Linked DNA regions of Oryzias latipes. The main gene of each other region encodes a partner of the protein of the gene in region 3 in a complex. Links are inferred from orthologs where the notes say so. Each region holds a gene or a part of one and is shown on either strand. Other genes may lie near its edges.

Evidence for each region.
Region 1: mta2 (region 3) and cdk2ap1 share a complex: the UniProt entries of both Homo sapiens proteins name them as parts of the nucleosome remodeling and deacetylase (NuRD) repressor complex. The link is inferred for Oryzias latipes from reciprocal best matches to the Homo sapiens genes MTA2 and CDK2AP1.
Region 2: mta2 (region 3) and cdk2ap2 share a complex: the UniProt entries of both Homo sapiens proteins name them as parts of the nucleosome remodeling and deacetylase (NuRD) repressor complex. The link is inferred for Oryzias latipes from reciprocal best matches to the Homo sapiens genes MTA2 and CDK2AP2.

What each region holds. Positions count from the first base shown.
Region 1 is NC_019870.2:2,595,616-2,602,866, forward strand, and holds cdk2ap1 (cyclin-dependent kinase 2-associated protein 1), read left to right. Parts: upstream 1-3,057; 5' UTR 3,058-3,235; coding exon 3,236-3,302; intron 3,303-5,242; coding exon 5,243-5,343; intron 5,344-6,131; coding exon 6,132-6,258; intron 6,259-6,322; coding exon 6,323-6,390; 3' UTR 6,391-6,963; downstream 6,964-7,251. Other genes in the region: sbno1 (protein strawberry notch homolog 1), read left to right, coding at 294-436. UniProt on the Homo sapiens protein: Inhibitor of cyclin-dependent kinase CDK2. Also acts as a component of the histone deacetylase NuRD complex which participates in the remodeling of chromatin.
Region 2 is NC_019859.2:13,714,528-13,721,677, forward strand, and holds cdk2ap2 (cyclin-dependent kinase 2-associated protein 2), read left to right. Parts: upstream 1-2,814; 5' UTR 2,815-2,914; intron 2,915-4,218; 5' UTR 4,219-4,319; coding exon 4,320-4,374; intron 4,375-4,446; coding exon 4,447-4,538; intron 4,539-6,230; coding exon 6,231-6,351; intron 6,352-6,553; coding exon 6,554-6,621; 3' UTR 6,622-7,115; downstream 7,116-7,150. UniProt on the Homo sapiens protein: Acts as a component of the histone deacetylase NuRD complex which participates in the remodeling of chromatin.
Region 3 is NC_019876.2:29,094,103-29,100,158, forward strand, and holds part of mta2 (metastasis-associated protein MTA2), read left to right. Parts: coding exon 1-138; intron 139-232; coding exon 233-476; intron 477-581; coding exon 582-671; intron 672-3,481; coding exon 3,482-3,600; intron 3,601-4,456; coding exon 4,457-4,599; intron 4,600-5,692; coding exon 5,693-5,843; 3' UTR 5,844-6,056. UniProt on the Homo sapiens protein: May function as a transcriptional coregulator. Acts as a component of the histone deacetylase NuRD complex which participates in the remodeling of chromatin.

The DNA.
Region 1 (7,251 bases), on a different chromosome or scaffold from region 3:
GAAAATCGTACATTTTTAAGGCCCTTTGCAGCAGTTTGGCGTTTGACTCCAGGAATCCGGCAGAACCTGTAGGTGTGTGCTTTTATTTTGAAAATTGCTGATTTTCTTTGAATTGGTGGTTTGAGCTCCTCCCTCTCCCTGAAAGGCTTCCTCACCGCCCCGTCGGTGCAGGAGAGTCTTCACCGGGTCTGCGGGGGGCGTCGCACCTCCACCGTGTCTGCTGATGCCAAAAACCCAAAAGTAGACACCTGAGGCGCCCGGCGAACCTCTGATGGCGTCTTCTTCTCTCGCAGGTCTGATCATTCCAGCGAACTGCGTCTCGCCGCTCATCAACAAGCTGTCCACGTCGGACCAGAGCCAGCAGCTGGCGGTGCAGGAGCAGCAGAAGAGGCAGCAGCTTCACCCGCAGAGTCTCAGCCACGCCCTCAACACGTAGTCCGCCACTTTCGCCCACAGCTCCGCCCCTCCGGCGCGGCAAAGTCTCTGCAGGCCTCGGCTCTGCTGCCTCTCACAACCCCCTCCCTCCCCCCGCCGTCCTGGAGGGTCAGGGGCACCGTGCAGAGAGTTCTGTTCCTGACCTCCAGATGCCCCCGTTCTCCTGTTGGAGGTTCCGACGGCGTTCTGACATTCAGAGCGCCACGGATTTGTGGTTCCAGTTTCTGTTCAGTCCAGACCGGGGCGGGGACTAATCCAGAACTACTGCGAGTAAACGCTCCGTTACAATCCATGGCGAGATGTGAACCCGCCTACCTGACAGGAAGTTACTTCTCCCCGCTGCAGTAAAGGTCCCTGGAACTGACCTGCTTCTCCATAAACGCCCAAACATAACCGCCATCTGGTTCCTCCCGCAGAACGTCTCCGTTTTCAGTCCGGGCTTTAGTTTGTGTTTGGGGAGGACAGCGGCGGTCCGTGGAACGTGCCTTGGTCTCCGTCTGTTCAGGGTTTTCGTAGTTCTGTCAGGATCCCTGAGGCGGCGCCGCGGCAGACATTTAAGGGCATTTTGTGTTAAAGCCGTCATTCAATGAAGACTTAAAGATGGAAGCGTGTTCTAGTGACGGAGATTCTCTCCAAAAATGTATATTTGACTTTGTTTCTGTATATTTTTGGTCCGTTTCTGTTCCTTCTCGAGAGTTTCCTCCGCTTTCAGGACGCCGCACTCCGTGACCCTTCACCCCCCCACCCCCAGGCTTTTATTTTGTCATCGTTTGGCCGATCCGAGGTTCCGAGCAATCGCCTAGAGGTGTGCAGAACTCGGGTCGTTGCTTTAGTTTGGACCTGCTCGGGGTTCCGTCAGTACAAAGACCCAGAATCCCTCCCTGTGGCGTGCATGTTCAGCTGGCGTCCTCACACGGCTTCAGCGCTAACGTGTGGCGCCCATCGTGTCATCAGATTTGCACTGGAATGGCGAGCCTGAAGGGGGTGTGTGTGTGTGTGTGGGGGGGTCTATTCGGCGCCTTATTAAAATGCAACCTCAACCTGTGGATGAGCAACCTCTGCTTTACTGACGTCTGGATTATTTGTACATTTTGAAGTCGTCTGTTGGAACTTGAATGTGCACCTTGGTGGACAGCGGCACGGATGGCGGAGCGTTGAGGGTCTCGCTGTGTTCAACGGGAACAGCGCCGCTGCTCGCCATGCACTACTGACGGGACGTGTATATGAACGAGTGCAATGCTCAATAAAGCTCCATTTACGTCTAGCTTTGGTGCTTCAGTGAAGCTGCTGTTTGTCAAGAAAAAGTCGATGTTTAGACGACTTCAGTTAAATTTCTGTGAGCAAAACTGGAAGAAATCTAAAAGAAAAATGTTTGATTTTTTTTTTGATTTTCTGTCACTGTTTTTATTTTAGCAATGAGATTTTGTAAAAACTCATTATTTTGTGCTCTAATTTAATTGATTTATCTAAAATTATTACATAAAATACACTAAAAGGCTGGGAAGTAAAAGTAGATTTAAACAATGTGATGTTGGATATAAAGCGGTATTTAAATTTGAAATTATTTTTGACATCTGACACAAACTTTCAGTAAATTTAAGGCTTATTTTTATCCTAAATGAAGATATTTGACCTAAATTAGGTTAAACTTAAGTTACAGAATAAACTTAAGACAAACACAATGTTAATCACTAAAAATAAAATATTTTTTAAAGATTTCTTTAAAAATAAAATATTTTTTAAAGATTTCTTTTTTATTTGAGCAATGAATAAGAATTAACCTGAGGAAATGTACTTATTTTAAAGTATTTTTGTTTACTTTTACATTGTAAAAAAAAAAAAAATTGACCAAAATTTGGTTACTAAAATATGTAAAAGAAAAAAATAAAATGCAAAATATCAAAAACTCTAATTTTATATAGGTTTTAATGTAATTTTTAAATAAATTAGAAATTAAATATTTTTCCAAGCTTTTATTCATTTGTGCAATAAATTTAAATATTTCAAGTAAACTTTCAAAACATTTTAAAATCTTACTTTTATTCACTTTAACATCATACGAAACATAAAATTTGTCTTAAATAGTGATATTTAAAAAAACATGAAAAGGATGATGGGAAATGTTTAATTTTTTTTAATATTTCCCAGCAAGTTAACATTGGATTATTTAACAGATGATTAAAATAAAAGTCAAAAACTACATTTTTTTTTTTCTTCTGGAAACATTTCTGAATGGCGAAGATGTGGGGGACCCAGCCGGTACCGGGGGGCCACCATGTGGGCAGCGGGGCCTGATGGGATATAAAGACTGGTGTGGGTTCTGGGGGGGAGGGGGTTCTGGTTCCCCAGACCAAAGCAGGTACCAGTCCCCCTTATTTCCCTGCAAGCAATTCCAAACCCGCGCGTGCACCAAACGCGTGGTGGATTTATTTAAGTTCATTCATCAAAACTTCCAAAAAAAAAAAGTGTAAAACAAAAACTAAGAAGGTTTGAGTTTAAAACCTTCAAGTGGTTTTAATCTTGAAACCTTAAAAAAAAAAAAAATATTTTTTTTTTTTTTTGGAGCAAACTTTGGGTTAAATGTCACATAAGCGCGCGCGCGACGCCGCGCGCGTGCGCTAGATGTGTAAAAAGATGTTTAAAAAGTGGTTTTGTGCCGCGCGGATGGCAGCGGCTCTGGAAACCCAGTGGGTGTCAATATAAAGTGACGGCCATATTTGCCGGTGCCGCTGTTGTAAACAAAAAGTGAGAGACAGACGCTTCACTGAATTTCGGGTCATTTTTATTTCTTTAATTTACAATGTCTTTGGGAATGTCTTACAAACCCAACGTCCATCAGCACATTCCGGGAACTTCAGGGAACCAGGGTAAGAGCAAAACGGCGGTCAAAAGCCAACTACCCGCCCGCTACATCGAGCGTTAAATTCGGGGTCTCGGAGAATACCTGGAGAAAGACTGTGTCTGTAGTTTTTGTCCAGTTATATATATAGGGTCAGATCCTGGGAGCTAGGCTAATTCATATCCGCCATTATTACTAATGTAAAAGGGCGCCATCCGCGGGTCGAGTCGGCGCGGAAACACGGCGGGGATGAGAAACGAGCGCGCGGCGCTTCCGAAAACGGGGTTCCCCGCCGTCCGGGGTCGCGGTCCCGCCCGGCGGGTGCCGTTACACGGTGACAAAAATGTATCGGTTATGTCTTCTTGAGCCAGCCTTGTTCCGTTTCCTCCATGATGCTCCTCGGTCGGAGCTGCTCGATTGATCCGCCTCGGAGGAGTTTCTGCCTCTTCGAGGACACCTGCCGGTCGGGGCCGATACTGCAGGCGCAGGAGGCAGGCTGGAGTTCATGGAGCCAAAAAACAACAAAGAAAACCTTTAATTTAGTGATACATCGTGGAAAATACTGAATTGTTTTCATTATTTTTTTCATTTAACAATTTCACACCTATTAATTAGTATTCAGATTTTTTAATGACTAATTCACTCTTATTTAGCAACAACTTAATTTTATTTCCTGATTTTAGAGTCAGAATGATGCACTTTTCATACTATTGTATTGATATATACAGTAATGCATGAACCAGTGACAATATCTGTAATTATTCATTCGTCTTTTGTCTTCACATTCTAAATCCATAAACATTATCAAACATTACATGATCAGTGTGTCCTGCAGCAGTCTGGGACACACTTTTGTGGTTTGAAATCTGGCGATTTCCTTATTTTCCCTCAAAATGGGAAAATAAACTTTTAGCTCAAGCGATCCTCACCAGGTTTCCCTGCTAGCTTCAGTCTACAACCAAAGTTTCGTTGACCTTTGAAGGGGCTTAAATAAAAATAAAAAATCGCCGTCTACAAATTTAAAGTCCTCCTGGGGATTTTGATCTATCGTTACTCATCATTTTGAACCTACATGGGGGGAAAAATGTTGGTTTTTAAAGTTTAAAGATTTGGAACGGTGTTGGCGGGGCGAGCTCGCAAAACTGGCGTTCCCCTGTTGGTCGCGCATTTCTTACCAGAATATTGTGGAAATTGAATACATTAATTCCTTGCGTCAAGCTGAATGAAACAATATGATATACAATAAAACCACATTAGGAATGGGGGCGTGGTTAATGATAAACCTCCGTTGCCAAGGAAATCCAAAAGTTTACTTTTGCCAATTTTTCTACAAATTACATCGACGGATTCGCCACCCCCAGGGGACCAAAAAAGGAAATGGTTGCTATGGAGATAAAACCAGCATGAAAGCCGCCATTTTTAAAATAGTTTGTCTTCATTAATGAGTTGAGCTTCATTTTAAAGACGGATGGTGTGGAGGTCATGTGGTCAAGTCTTTTGCATTTATCAGAGCCTAAAAGTTAAAAATAATCATAAAAATTCATCTGTGATCATTTTTTGGATGTCCGTACTTTCTAAAATGACTAGCGGATGTTTTTTTTTTCTCTCATTTTACCAAGTAAACCAAAGTTTCTGTTTCTACAAAGGTAATATTTCTCTAAAATCCTCATCCATCGTCAGCAAATGCAGGGACGGCTTTCAGCCTCGCTGTTCCGTAAACGGCTTTTTGGGGTTTTGACGCACACGTGTGAGGAAACCAAACTACAGATGTGTGTTTATGATTCTGCTGCGTTTAGGACTAAAATAATTCAAATCAAACAAAATATTTGATAGAAAGCTCTGAATCGGTTGTTTTTGTGTCACCAATGTCAGACAAACGGGCTCCATGTTTGGTATATTTTAGCAGTGAAAGAACAGAAGTACAGTCTTCTTGTATCATCTTTCATGATGCGGATGTTTTGCCTGCAGTTGGGAACCTTCAGTCGGCCTCGGCGGCTAACCTGGCCACGTTGCAGTCCTACAGACCCCTGCTGAGCGACTACGGACCTCCATCTCTGGGATTCTCACAGGTGAGCTCCGCCTTTAGACGCCGCAGAAACATCTTCTTCTTCCCAACCCTCGTCAGAGGTGTGGCGAGTCTTTCAGGGTTTCTGTTGGCGCTCGTGGAAACGCGGTGGCGGCGGCTCTACCGCTGACTGTACCTGAGACCTGGGCTGAGTGTGACCACATCCATCGACAATGGTTCAATTCTCCATTTTTTATTTTTTTGTAGTGAGTCCTTGTTTCTGTGGCAACCACCCTCACCAATCAGGGGTGGAGCTTATCCGAAGGCCACACCCCTACCACCTGAAAACCTGTCAATCGTTTTGGACATAGGGGCCGCCAGGCTCCACCTACTTTAGTTGAGGCCTCAATAATAAAAAGCAGATGTTAAAGCGCAGAAAACACCTGTTTCCGCACGTGTTTCACGCTGGTTTCCGTTAAGCTAACGTCCTTGTCTGATGAAGAACGGTTCTGCGTCTGGATCTTTGACAAACCGCTGGTTTCCACTTGTTTTCTCCTGGCCAATATTCAAACGGTACCATTAAAGTTTGAAAGTTGGTAAATAAAAACACCAGAGAACTCTGAGATGGTTGTTTGGGGCTCCCAGGAAATGCGTGCATCTTATTTTGAAAGTCCCGATAAAACGGGTCGTTCAGCTGTTATTCACAACTGCCCTCACGGGCGGATAAGGGCAACGAAGGTCTCACCTGTACGGTGACCCGCCCCAAATATCAAAGGCCAAAGATCAAAGCTGCAGCTTTTATTTTGTTATCAGAAGAGAACTTCCTTTGTTGTTGTTTTTTCTAAACTCCAGGGCTCCACCGGCAGTCAAGTGCCTCAGAACAAATATGCAGAGCTGCTCGCCATCATCGAAGAACTCGGGAAGGAAATCAGGCCCACGTATGCTGGAAGCAAGAGCGCCATGGAGAGGCTGAAACGAGGTATGTCCCGCTTTGAACGCTTTCCTTTGGGTTTCAGCCGAATAAACCCCATCCCTCTGGGCAGGAATAATCCACGCCAGAGGACTGGTGCGGGAATGCTTGGCGGAGACGGAGAGGAACGCCAGGTCCTAGCCGCAGACGCGCCTTCCCCCTCCGAGAAGAACCACACGTCACCCAAAAGCAAACGGAAAAATCAACCTGCATGGCATTTTTCTCGGTTGGGAGGAAGTCGATGAAGAAAAGGCGGAGAGGCAAACTCCTAGAGATAAAGGGCGACGATAAGAGAAACGAGCAGCAACAACCTGAACGCCTCCCAACGGCTGTCAATCATGTCTGAGTTGTTTGTGAAACAAAAGAAAAGGTCGACATTCAACTTCACTGATCTTAGTTTTCCATTTCCCTTCAAAATCCTTCTTTTTGCATGCAAACGGGCCCATCGGTTAACTGTAGACTATGCATGACATGTACAAAACTAGATCAGGTTTTCTTATTTGATTTTATTTTTTAGTGTTTTTATTTTCCTCTTTTCATGGCGTTCGGTCTGTTTTGACCTTTTGCAACTCACGGCGGAGGGAAGGATGTGCCAAATGCATTTCTTTCATCCATCTTTCAGTTGGTTTTAAGTGGAGACACAGAAAATGGAAAATGCTGTTACTTGCATCTTTGTATGTATTTATTACCCTGTGTAATAAATTGTATTTTCAATACAGTTGTCATGGTGATTCTTTGTTTGTTTTCTTTTGGCTCAAAGGGGCAGAAAATAATAAAAAAAATATAAATGTATAAACATTTAAAGCAAATAGACAAAATAAATATTTACAAACTTCAGTTATGGGGAGGGCTGCGTATTTTACTCAGCTTTTTCACTAAATTAGATGGTTTTTTTCATGCCTGTGTAAATTATAATCTAGGATTATTAAATGTAAAAAAGACTCAGATGCTTCCTTGAAGGGTATATTTTATGTAGATGAAAAAAAAAACTTTAAGTAAAAT
Region 2 (7,150 bases), on a different chromosome or scaffold from region 3:
AATTTTCATTGGAATGGAACTCTAAAGTAAATTTGATTCTATATAAGGTACAAACTCCAGACCTCCAGGCCACTTACTTGTATCAGCTACTTGCTGCATTTTTGCTTAAAGCAGTTGAATCACAATTTACTTAAAACTGTTATTTTTATTAGTTTTTGAAGAACTTTGACACACTTCTGCTTCATTCTGCATAAAAACTAAGAACTATAGGGATTTCCCTACAGAGAAGAGCTTTGTGAGACAATTGATTTGAATGTTTTCATTTCTTTGCTTGAATCATGAGTTTTTACACTGCAGAAGAGCAATGGTGTAGCAAACTGATTTGTCTTTTTAGAAAAACACTTTCTTCTTCGGTTCACACTTTGAGAGATTTCCTGCCAATGTCATCATCGAGACAGTTCAGAAGTGAATCATTTTTCCATGACAAGAGGTCTTCTGTCAAATTTCTGACACATTTCGGTGAAGAAACACTTATATTTTTTCACCTTCTAGTTTTGAGCGTCAGCCTTTCAATGCCGCACATAGCTTGTGCTCCGATTTCTGGTCATGATTATTCTTGGAAACATTATAATTGTGACCACCAGAGTTCTGCTGAAAAGCTGTTTAGAGAAGTGGAATGGCAAGTGTGTCCTCAATTTATCATGTGTTTGTTTTTTGTTAACAAACAATATAAAATATGCATATAAAAAGAATGAAGTGCGTTTAACTAAAAAAAGAGTAGTAAATTAAAAAAATGATGCAACAAGACTTCCATTACTACCAACAGCTTGCTCATTACTGTTATGAACAGGGTTGATAGTCACTTCTGTTATTTTTTGTGCCATGCAGTTTCCGTGTGGCTTTTTTGCCTTGAGAAACATAAAAATTGTAGCCATGGCAGTGATCTTTGCTCATACTCAGTACACGGTCTTTGTGCTCAGCACCCACCAGCTCTAGATTTGAAGAAAAAAATACAAACTTGCACAGCACTTTGCAGGCAATTAAGGAAACAGGAACTGTAAAAAGATTTCAATAAAAATGTGAAAAAAATGTGAAAAAATGAGAATTCCATTTCTTACTAGAGCAGTTTGGTTGTTTTTTCTTTTTTTACATATTATCGTGATTTACCAACAACAACTGCTTCTAGTCTTTATGGAGCTTTTCTTTAACAACTTGTAAGATTATGCAACAGAGTGGGAGAATACATGCAGGTTGAGGCTCATGTTTTATTTCTAATAAGTTTTAGACAGACATAGTTACAAACAGTTCAGAAATTTAGATTTATGACATTTGGCGTTATTTTTTCTTACCCTGGTTAATACAAAAATTGTCATCGGAGTTTAATCATGTTTTCAATTATTTAATGAACCCTTTCACATTGATTTTTAACTCCTTAATTTAAGGCAAGAATGGTTAATAACATTGTATTGATTATCCCCAGCAGATGATGTCTGAGAATGTGTAATGTTAAGAAACAAAAGCCCTATTTTTTAATTCTGCAGCAAATCCTTTACCAGCTAATAGAGAAAATAATAGATGTCACATAAAAAATATTGTGGATTAAATGCCTAAAGAGATATGTCTATGGTTATGTTATGGTTATTTTCACTGAACCAAAGGAGACCAAATTGACTGCAAATACACTGATGGATTCACAAAAACACCACAGCACCATCTACTGACGCAATGTAGCAACATCAAATGAACAGTAAAAGTAGTATAATAGATTGGTTTTCAACAAAAGACAGGGAGATATTTGTTAATCAGATCACTCGCAAAAACAAAAAATGATAACATAGAAACCAGCGTAGTATAGGAAACAATTCAACAATTGGGCCGACAACCAACAGAATCTTTTGCTGCTGTCATTTTTCGCATAGATGATCTTTGGAAAACAAATCAGTAGATTATATCTTTTACTTTGACACATGGAAGGCCTTAAAACAGAGAAATATATAATGTGACTGGAAAAATAAGATTGTTTTTTTTCTTAAAGGGATTAACCATTTTTTTCCCAACAGAGCAGCTGACAGCAGTAATTAAAAAAATGATTAACAGCATGACTCTGACATTATGTATGCCACAGTGCAGTGAAGGCATTTCTTGTAAATTATCCATTGCTTAAAAATATTCCTCTTCTTTAAAAAAATAATCAATTCTGATCTTTCTGTAAGAGCTTAAAGCACAACCTTCTGTTTGGAAATCAGCATTCAAGTAAGTAATCTGATATCAACTGTAGGCCATTCAACAACATAATGAATCAGCAACACATTTTTATACTTCCAAAAGGCTTTTTAAATCCATAAGTGGAGAAACATAACTTTACCGGTAATAGTTTTTTTTTTTTTTTTTTTTTTTTTTTTTTTGCAAAACAAAATAAAATTAATTTGAATTTGAATTTGAAAACAAAAAGAAAGCTTTAAAAAGCAAATTTTCCTTGAATTCTTGGAAATCGATGAAAAATCTCAGTTGGAATAATCCTGATTGCATCCTTGCATTAAACCTGTTTTGAAATGATAAAAACACATTAGTTCTTTTATATTTGGTTTGATCCTAAGAATTTTTTAAAACAAGCACGAAATTTACCATTTTATTTTGGCATAATAATATCACATTTATAAAATACTACTACTACTACTACTACTACTACTACTACTACTACTACTACTACTACTACTACTACTACTACTACTAATAATAATAATAATAATAATAATAATAATAATAATAATAATAATAATAATAATAATAATAATAAACTATTACACTGTTTAACACATAAAATTATTTGGGAAGATTAACCAATCACAAAGCTGTGATGGTTGAGGAAAAAATAGTAAAATAGTCTAGCGGGGGTTTAATAATGCGCATGCTCACACACAGAGGCGGAGCTAAGGTTCACGTCATACCTAAGATTGCTGCTCTCAGTAAAAAGGTAAATTAACAACAATAACAGTTTTGGGGCTACTTTTATCCCCTCTGTACGTCTTTAGTGGCTTCTGTGTTTTCTTTATTTGTGGTTCAGGAAGTATACATTAACAGCTTAACTGTTAACTTATTTATTTTTTAAAGATTGTACCCAGGTTATTTTGCTAACCGGCAATAGCTAGCTAATCCGGCTAACGTTATCTAGTAGTAGTTAGCTGGGCACCTTCGTCTAAGCTAACGTTGGCTTTTTGTTACCTCAGTCACCTCCTGCTCCGTTCGTACATTCTGTACTTCCTTTACTTAGAAAACGTTCTTTTTTGATACATCCTGGTACATTTTGACTTGGGGCTTTAAAGATAGTTTATGAATTAAATTGTAACGCGTGGAATAAAATAATCGTGATTTCAAATGAATTATGACTATGCGTTAGTGTGGTAATGATTAGGAACTACTTTTAAAACATATTTAAAGTTTATTTTTTTTAAACGAATTAGTCTAATTTTTTATGTGGAATATTTATTTTTCCGACCGACTCAATTTAAGTGAAAGCTTAATTTAAAATGAAAAGGAAATGTTATTCGATCCTCAATTAATGTTTGATGAATTATATTGCTGTGTTACTGTTATCCATGCCACAATAGTTGTAAAACTAAGAAAACCACACGATTTTATAGAAAACAACTAACGCTGTAGGTCTGACATATTAACTCGTTCTATCAATAATCCGGTTGCCAGTTTGTAGAATATTGATTTTGATTAAAAAAATTGTTGGAACAAATGAAAAGTTGGTGCTTTGCTTCCTGTTAAAATAGATTTGCAGTTTCACTTTTTTCATCACGTGGTTTCCCAGAGCTAGACTGGTTGTGAGGAGGGGGGGGGGGGGGTGTCAGTATTTAGTCTTAAACTACTTTCATGCAGTGCTTTAAAGAAGCATAAAATACTCACTACTATGCTATTTAGACTCGACTGTTGTTAGTGGACTGTTAATAAAGCACTATACTTGGAAACATCTCTGTTGTTCAGATGCAGTTTATATGCATGTTTGTAGTATTGGTGACTTTTTGTTTGGTTGTCTGCTGGTGTAGCCCATCTGCTTCTAGTCTTCTGTTTGTGTTAACATGACATGGAATTGATTTACCGGTAGTCATGTTTCCATTAACGCTTCAGCTCATGTCATCTATTATACTTTATTACAACATTCTGTACGAGTAGATCACTTTCTAAATGTGAAAAATGTCTTCAAAAATTTTGGAATGAACAGAAAATAAAATCCCATTGTTGTTACAGTGTGTGCTTTTCCGCTTTGTTTAGCTCTCAGGAGCTCACCATCACCAGTGAAGCTGTATAAGCATCGGGTTGACGGGATTGAGGAAAGCAGCGCGTTGTATGTGGAGCTGCCTGTTGAAATCGCCATGAGTTACAAACCTATTGCTCCTGCGCCGTCTGGGTCCAATCACACTCCACCAGGTAACCTGTGGTCCGGGTTGAACCTATGATGATCAACCTGTTGGTTTCCACTAAGTTGTTTTTTTTCTTCAGGCTCTTCGGTCCCCTCGCCGTCTCTACCCTCGTCATCCAACTTCAGGCCAGTCTTCAGTGACTTTGGTCCCCCATCTATGGGCTTTGTTCAGGTTAGTGTCTTGCGCTTTCAAACTCATAAACAATTTTTCATTTTAATTATGTTTCATATGCAATCAAAAGAATACTTTTAACCCCTGTGCTATCCTATGGGTTCAAAATGACCATTGACATGTCATCCCTACCATGACAAAGGTGGATAAAGGTGGAAAGATTTCATGTAATCCATGGACACCAGTGAAGATCACAAATCATTGAAGAAAAATGGTTCAGCGCACTGTCTAGTGGGTCTAGATGACCCAACTCCCAATGTCAAATTGTCTAGGATAGCACAAGGGTTAAAAGAAATAGGGACTTGCAATGTTGGATGTGTTGTTGATTTGATGACAGCACTGCATATCTAAATGTTCCTGGTTATCTTCCTGCAGCATCCAGGAGCTCAAACTGAGTAACTGTATTGCAAGGAAATTTTGTTGTTGTGAAGAATTGCGTTCCTTTCTTGAAGTGCTTACTGTCTTCTAAATATAATGTGAACAAATAGAGTTTTTGTTTTGTAAATACAAGGTGATTTGATCAGGCAACGCTGTATGATATTAATTCATTCATTTAAGGATTTAAAAGAATTTTTTTATTTTATAAGTAAATTATTACCGGTACTTCATTTCATTCATATGATTTTATAAATGTAAAAGCTTTGTCCTAATTTAGGCTCTTCTTTGGTAAACAGTTGCACTGATAGTTTAAAGAATCATTTTAAATGTGATTGTAAAAGGCTAGCAAAGAACTTTTGAAAATGTGCACCGTTAAAACACTTTCTTTTTTTTTTTTTTTTTGAAAAAGGGAAATCAAAAGTTGTTTTTAATAATTCTGATTCAAGAAGACTATTTAAAAGGACCGTTGACTTTGTGATTATTGATGCGATTAAAAAAAAAAGTGAGAAGTGTATTCTCAGAATTGTTATTAAATGAAGCATCTTGTGGTGTTGTGCACACACTTGGTTTGCTTAAAGGGAACCAGAGTTTGTTTATTAATTCAGCGTACCTTCTTAGCTGCCGTCTCATCAGTAAATGCCCTGCAGCGTGCTTCAGCCAGACCAAAGCAGCAAGAAAGGGTAAAAGTACCTGACGTTGATATAGACATTCAAAATTGGTCAGCAAAGTATAATGTTTAAATATGTGAGCTATCCTGACAATGTTTGCAAAGCTTAGGACTTCCATAATTTCTGCCTCTTGTTGCTTTGCCCCGCCCTCATAATTCCTGAAGAGATCCTCAGTTGTGCGCTTTTGTTGACAAGCTTTGGTATGAAACAGAAATGTCTGGTTGAAGGGCAAACGCAAGGTTTAGGACTCGATCTGGATCAAATTAAACAGGCAGTCTGGACCAACTGACTTTTCCAGTTTGAATACATCCTTTATTTGATCCCAAGTGCTTCTAGTTTAACACATCTCTGTTTCTGTATGTAGAGGTTTACTTCCTTTTGCAACAAGTTATTTTTGTTTTACTTTGGTCAAGGGAATGTGTCTCCCTGGTTAATAAATGTATCCTCCTTATCTGAACCGACATCATTTAGGTTGTATAACGGTTTCAAACCTACAAGAAAGTTAGAATCACTTCATTGCATGTCGTCGTGGATATTATGTCAGCAGAAAGTCACCCTTTCAACATTACTATATGAATTATTCTGTTAGTGTACATCATGTGCATTTTATTATTCTTTAAAACTTCCCATTTCTGAAAATCCTCAGCCTGTCAAAGTGTCCCAGGGGTCCACCTACAGCGAGCTCCTGTCCGTCATCGAGGAGATGAGCCGCGAGATCAGGCCGACATATGCTGGGAGCAAGAGTGCAATGGAAAGGCTAAAGAGAGGTACTTTCTTTGTGACCAACATTATTCTGCTCCATGCAGGTACCAGTTATCATTTCTGATTAGTTGTTTTTTTTTTCCTCTCTCTTGATGTTCTACTATAACAGACATATTCTCTTTTCAGATTTGTAGGGGTGTTTTTTGTAAATATGTGCTTCCTATCATTTCAAATTTGTGAATTAAAATCCCGACTCCTCTCTTGCAGGTATCATCCACGCTCGTGCACTCGTCAGGGAATGTCTTGCAGAAACTGAGAGAAGCGCCCGCACATAACCTCTATGAAAGCTCCCTTCATCCCAGCCCTCACCCTTAGAGTCCTGCCCTCATCATGACCTCTTTGGATATTTTGCCACCAGTCTTCTTCCTCCCACCTTTGCTTTGTTTTTATTTTATTTTATAGGTAATTGTCTATTTTGGGTTTCAATTTAACTGCTTTGATTTCATAGTTACATTACTGTAACATGCAAAGTCGATGCAAAAAAAGATTCTATTTTAAGAGTTTTGAACTCGAGTACACTTAATTTAAAACATACAATTGTTGTTTTATAATAGCAGCTGAATTTCTACACAGATGGGGGTTTTTTTTTGGGTGGGGAGATTAACATTTTTAAATGCTGTCATTTCAATTTAACCTGGCTTTGTCACATTTTGTGAAGTAGGCACATACCATTTCTTTACATCTCAAGTCAATTTGTTACTACGGAAATTTTTTAAATTAGAATTTTGCATTTGGGTATGTATATCTTAAATAAATAACATGAAAAGAATGAGTGCGTTCATTCTTTTTTTTTATACCTTTTTG
Region 3 (6,056 bases):
GCTCAGTCTCCTCAGTGGTACGCCTGGGGTCCTCCCAACATGCAGTGCAGACTGTGCGCCTCCTGCTGGATCTACTGGAAAAAATACGGAGGCCTGAAGACCCCCACTCAACTAGAGGGGGCCACGAGAGCGGGCTCTGTAAGTCTTTGTCCACACAGTCAGCTCCTTTAAAGGACTTCTCAGTGTTGAGTTGTGCTGCCTACTCTTCCCTGATTGGTCGTTCTGCATCCAGGAGGCGGGCCCCCGCGCCCACATGACCCGCCAAGAAGTCCAGGGCCTGTCCCCTTTCACTCGCAACGAGGGCCGAGCCAAGCTGCTGGCCAAGAACCGCCAAACGTTCATCCTTCAGACCACAAAGTTGACCCGCGTGGCGCGGCGTGTGTGCGAGGACATTCTGCAGCCGCGGCGTGCTGCCCGCCGCCCCTACGCCCCCATTAACGCAAACGCCGTCAAAGCTGAGTGTACGAGCCCATTAGGTCACGCAGTCTTTATTTAAATATTTAACACCTTTCCATACGTCAACACTGCCTAGACTCAAAGGGCAGGAGGAGGACTTTGACTGAAAGTTTGTTTTTCTTCAGGCATGATCCGGCTGCCCAAAGCCACAAAGACCCCTGCAAAGAGCAAGTCTGTACCTCGCCAGTCACTAGCCAACATAGTGAAAGAGTTAGGTAAGAACCTGTGACATCCAAATGTCTGCAATAAAAGCCTGATGGATTGATGAGATGCTCGCCTGAACAGTCTAGACCAGGATCACATGAATACTCATTGAAGGTCTGAAAGAGCAAAGTGGACATAAATGTACACAAGGACTCAATATTTACACCCAGAATAAAGTAAAAACTCATTTATTGTTTGACGACCATTTGTGTTTGTAAAGATATCGTTGGATTTCTCACTCAAACACTTTTTAAGCTAAACGCTATATCATCAGCAAATGCAGGAAAACACTTTTTACACAAGTGATGGACGGAAATCAAGCAAATGAGAACGATAGTATGTGTTTCTATGCTTTGTTGTGCTTCGTTGTGTTTCTGTGCTTTGTTGTGCTTCGTTGTGTTTCCGTGCATCGTTGTGTTTCTGTGCATCGTTGTGCTTCAGTGTGTTTCTATGCTTCATTGTGCTTCGTTGTGTTTCTGTGCTTCGTTGTGCTCTGTTGTGCTTCGTTGTGCTTCGTTGTGTTTCCGTGCTTCGTTGTGTTTCCGTGCTTCGTTGTACTCTGTTGTGCTTCGTTGTGTTTCCGTGCTTCGTTTTGTTTCCGTGCTTCGTTGTGTTTCCGTGCTTCGTTGTGTTTCCGTGCTTCGTTGTGTTGCCGTGCTTCGTTGTGTTGCCGTACTTCGTTGTATTTCTGTGCTGCGTTGTGTTTCTGTGCTGCGTTGTGTTTCCGTGCTTCGTTGTGTTTCCGTGCATCGTTGTGTTTCTGTGCTTCGTTGTGTTTCCGTGCTTCGTTGTGTTTCCGTGCTTCGTTGTGTTTCCGTGCTTCGTTGTGTTTCTGTGCTTCGTTTTGTTTCCGTGCTTCGTTGTGTTTCCGTGCTTCGTTGTGTTTCTGTGCTTCGTTGTGTTTTGTGTGATGCATTGTGTTTCTGTGCTGCATTGTGTTTCTGTGCTGCGTTGTGTTTCTGTGCTTCGTTGTGTTTCTGTGCTTCGTTGTGTTTCTGTGCTGCGTTGTGTTTCTGTGCTGCGTTGTGTTTCTGTGCTGCGTTGTCTTTCTGTGCTTCGTTGTGTTTGTATGCTTTGTTGTGCTTCATTGTGCTTCGTTGTGTTTCCTTGCTTCGTTGTGCTTCGTTGTGCTTCATTGTGCTTCGTTGTTTCTGTGCTTCGTTGTGTTTCTATGCTTTGTTGTGCTTCATTGTCTTTCCTTGCTTCGTTGTGCTTCGTTGTGTTTCCGTGCTTCGTTGTGTTTCCGTGCTTCGTTGTGTTTCCGTGCTTCGTTGTGTTTCCGTGCTTCGTTGTGTTTCCGTGCTTCGTTGTGTTTCCGTGCATCGTTGTGTTTCTGTGCATTGTTGTGCTTCAGTGTGTTTCTATGCTTCATTGTGCTTCGTTGTGTTTCTATGCTTCGTTGTGTTTCCGTTCTTCGTTGTGTTTCCGTGCATCGTTGTGTTTCCGTGCTTCGTCGTGTTTCCGTGCTTCGTCGTGTTTCCGTGCTTCGTTGTGTTTCCGTGCATCGTTGTGTTTCCGTGCTTCGTCGTGTTTCCGTGCTTCGTTGTGTTTCTATGCTTCGTTGTGTTTCCGTGCTTCGTTGTTTCCGTGCATCGTTGTGTTTCCGTGCATCGTTGTGTTTCCGTGCTTCGTCGTGTTTCCCTGCTTCGTTGTGTTTCCGTGCTTCGTCGTGTTTCCGTGCTTCGTCGTGTTTCCGTGCTTCGTTGTGTTTCCGTGCATCGTTGTTTCCGTGCTTCGTTGTGTTTCCGTGCTTCGTTGTGTTTCTATGCTTCGTTGTGTTTCCGTGCTTCGTTGTGTTTCCGTGCATCGTTGTGTTTCCGTGCTTCGTCGTGTTTCCGTGCTTCGTCGTGTTTCCGTGCTTCGTTGTGTTTCCGTGCTTCGTTGTGTTTCCGTGCATCGTTGTGTTTCCGTGCTTCGTCGTGTTTCCGTGCTTCGTTGTGTTTCCGTGCATCGTTGTGTTTCCGTGCTTCGTCGTGTTTCCGTGCATCGTCGTGTTTCCGTGCTTCGTTGTGTTTCCGTGCTTCGTTGTGTTTCCGTGCTTCGTTGTGTTTCCGTGCCTCGTTGTGTTTCCGTGCTTCGTTGTGTTTCTGTGCTTCGTTGTGTTTCTTTGCTTCGTTGTGCTCTGTTGTGCTTCGTTGTGCTTCGTTGTGTTTCCGTGCATCGTTGTGTTTCCGTGCTTCGTTGTGTTTCCGTGCTTCGTTGTGTTTCCGTGCATCGTTGTGTTTCCGTGCTTCGTCGTGTTTCCGTGCATCGTCGTGTTTCCGTGCTTCGTTGTGTTTCCGTGCTTCGTTGTGTTTCCGTGCTTCGTTGTGTTTCCGTGCATCGTTGTTTCCGTGCTTCGTTGTGTTTCCGTGCTTCGTTGTGTTTCCGTGCATCGTTGTGTTTCCGTGCTTCGTCGTGTTTCCGTGCATCGTTGTGTTTCCGTGCTTCGTTGTGTTTCCGTGCATCGTTGTGTTTCCGTGCTTCGTCGTGTTTCCGTGCATCGTTGTGTTTCCGTGCTTCGTTGTGTTTCCGTGCATCATTGTTTCTGTGCATCGTTGTGTTTCCGTGCTTCGTCGTGTTTCCGTGCATCGTTGTGTTTCCGTGCTTCGTTGTGTTTCCGTGCATCATTGTTTCCGTGCTTCGTTGTGTTTCCGTGCATCGTTGTGTTTCTGTGCATCGTTGTGCATCGTTGTGTTTCTGTGCATCGTTGTGCTTCATCGTTGACATTGTCATCCACGATCATGTGTTCGGTTTCCTTCTAGCTGTTCTGTCCTTTAGTCACAGCCTTTCTTTAATGGTGAACTGGAGTCACATTCTCTTCTTTTCTGTGTTCCTGCAGCCATTTCTGCTCCGCTGAAGCTGAAGGCGTCCAGAGGACCGCCAACGCCCATCAACAGGAACCAGGCCAGCCAGCCGCGAGTAGCCCAAAGCCTGCTGGGAAAGAGAGGCTTCGACAGCGTCAGTGCTCCTCCCACACACCACACTTTCTCTTTCCATTGAAAACATCCCTCAATGATTTCTGCAGAGATGGGTTTCTAACCTGTGATGTCACGTGTCAGGCAGCCATACTTATTATTTTCCACCATCATTTTCAAATAAATTCTTTATAAATCAGACAACTTGATTTTTCTGGGTTTTGTCTCTCATAGCTGAGGTTTACCTTTGATGAAAGTTACAGGCCTCCCAGTCTGTGGCTGACTGAATACTTTTTGCCCCACTGGCCATGAAACGGTGGTGGAAAGCCTCACATTTGGCTATGCCTCATGCTAAATTCTTGCACACAATTGTGTATAAACTACGTAAAAGACGCATAAACTGAATACTTCTCAACCGACCAAAAATTCTGAACAGCTAAAAACTGAATTCACGTAAAAACTGTCATCCACTAATGTGTGTCTTTCCACGTTTGTCTAACAGACTTTTCATGCATGAACCACTGATGTGTAACTTTTAGATCACGTATACGGCGCACAGATCACGTTCAGATGACATCATTGATGCATGAATCACTGATGAATTACAGAGAAACATCACAATAATCACACGGTTCATGTTCTACGTTGGTTTACTTGTTCTTAAAAAAAATTACATACAGTTATTATACAAAAAATGTTATTTATTGATAACTTTATAATTTTATTCTGATATTTGACTAAGATCTGAATCTAATCACATAAACCATCTGTACTTTTGGTCTGATAGTACAACAGGCAGTCAGTACTATAATAGTCTTCACCTGTACTTTCAATCCAAGAGTTTGGTAGAGCAGTAATGTAGTGGTCTGTAAAGGTTGTGTTGTGTTGTGGGGTTGCAGGCGGCGGGGGCGGCGTTCCCAGCCAACGGACGGCCGTACACATCAGGGATGAGAACCACCTCCCAGTCGGTCATCAAGCGGCAGAAGGTCAGCCAGGGTGAGGCTCCCAACCCCGTTGTGTTTGTCGCCACAAAGGACACCAGGTACGTCACTAGAGGAGCGTTGACTGTAGACAAGGATTCACAAATGTCACACAACACACTGCACACACAGGAACCCGAAAATCTTCTGTAGTGTTCCCTCGCTTTAGCTCGCCGTCCAGCTGTTTCACAAATCTGATCTGCATGTTTTGTGAAGTGTTCTTTCTTGTGGCGTGTGCATGTCCTCCTCCTCCTCCTCCTCCTCCTCCTCCTCCTCCTCCTCCTCCTCCTCCTCCTCCTCCTCCTCCTCCATACGGAAGCATTTCTGTAGCAGAATGAAAAATAAGTCCACACCAGAAATGCTTCCATAGGTTCCTGTGTGGGTTTTGGTGCTTCGTAGGTGATTTGGTGTCTGGAAAACGTCTCGTCGGTCCAGAGCGTACCCCACCCTCACCCATCAATAAGATGGGCTTCTGCGACCTCTTGACCCCAAAACTGTGCAGAATTCATTCCAAATCGATCTTTGTTTTCACTCTATAGTCCTGGACTAGTGTCTGAGAAAAGGGAATAAAATGTTTAGGGAGGAGTTTCACGGCCTTAAGACGACTGCTTCGTTTTTATGACGTCACCTCCGCTGTAAATGAGGGAACACTGTACGAAAGAGGACACTCCAGCACACTTATGGAACTCCAACCTAATATCATTTAAAGGTTAAAAAGAAAAACAAGTCAATTCATGGGGTTTTGTTGACCTTTTTACACTAGAATCCATCTCCCTGACAGACACACACTGGTAGTTGTTGAGTTTCTCCTCTGTTTACAACATTGCTGCTATAGAAATGAACACAACTCACAGTAAAGGATGATGACCCCCATCTACAGCAGAGCCTCAGCGTTTGCATCCTTTCCACCGTCGCTCACACGGTTACCGTAGTTCTGAGGCGTGGATGTGCCTCGCTTTATGAAAGCTGTGTCACTTTAGCTCGTATGTGAAAGGTCAGCTGATCCGTCGCGTAAACAAAGATTCCCGTTAGGTCAGAGAGGGCGATGCGGGGGCGACTTCTCTGCTGTTGGAGGGGTAGAGCGGGGGCGTTACCCAAAGCGGGGGTCAGGTTTGACACACGGCTGACGTACATGTGTGTGTGTTTCTCCATCAGGGCCCTCAGGAAGCACCTGACCCAGTCCGAAATGCGCAGAGCAGCCAGAAAGCCCCACCTCCTGGTCCGGATCAAGCTACCGCCGCCGCCGCCCCGCTCCGTGCCCCTGCTGCCCTCCAGCACCAGCGAGACTATCGTCCTGGAGGACTGAAGGGGGGCGGGTGGAGTTCCTGAGGGTGGGGGGGGCTGTGTTCACAATTGTCTTATTCCCCCTGATTTTAGTCCCGTTTTTATTCTTGACCCTTTATTCCATCCCTCAGTGAGACAGACTTTTCTAGCATACCTTTTCTCTGTCACGCACACACGCGTACGTAGATGCACGCCGACACGCCCCGCCGCCGGGGTTTGGGGCCGTTCGACGGCA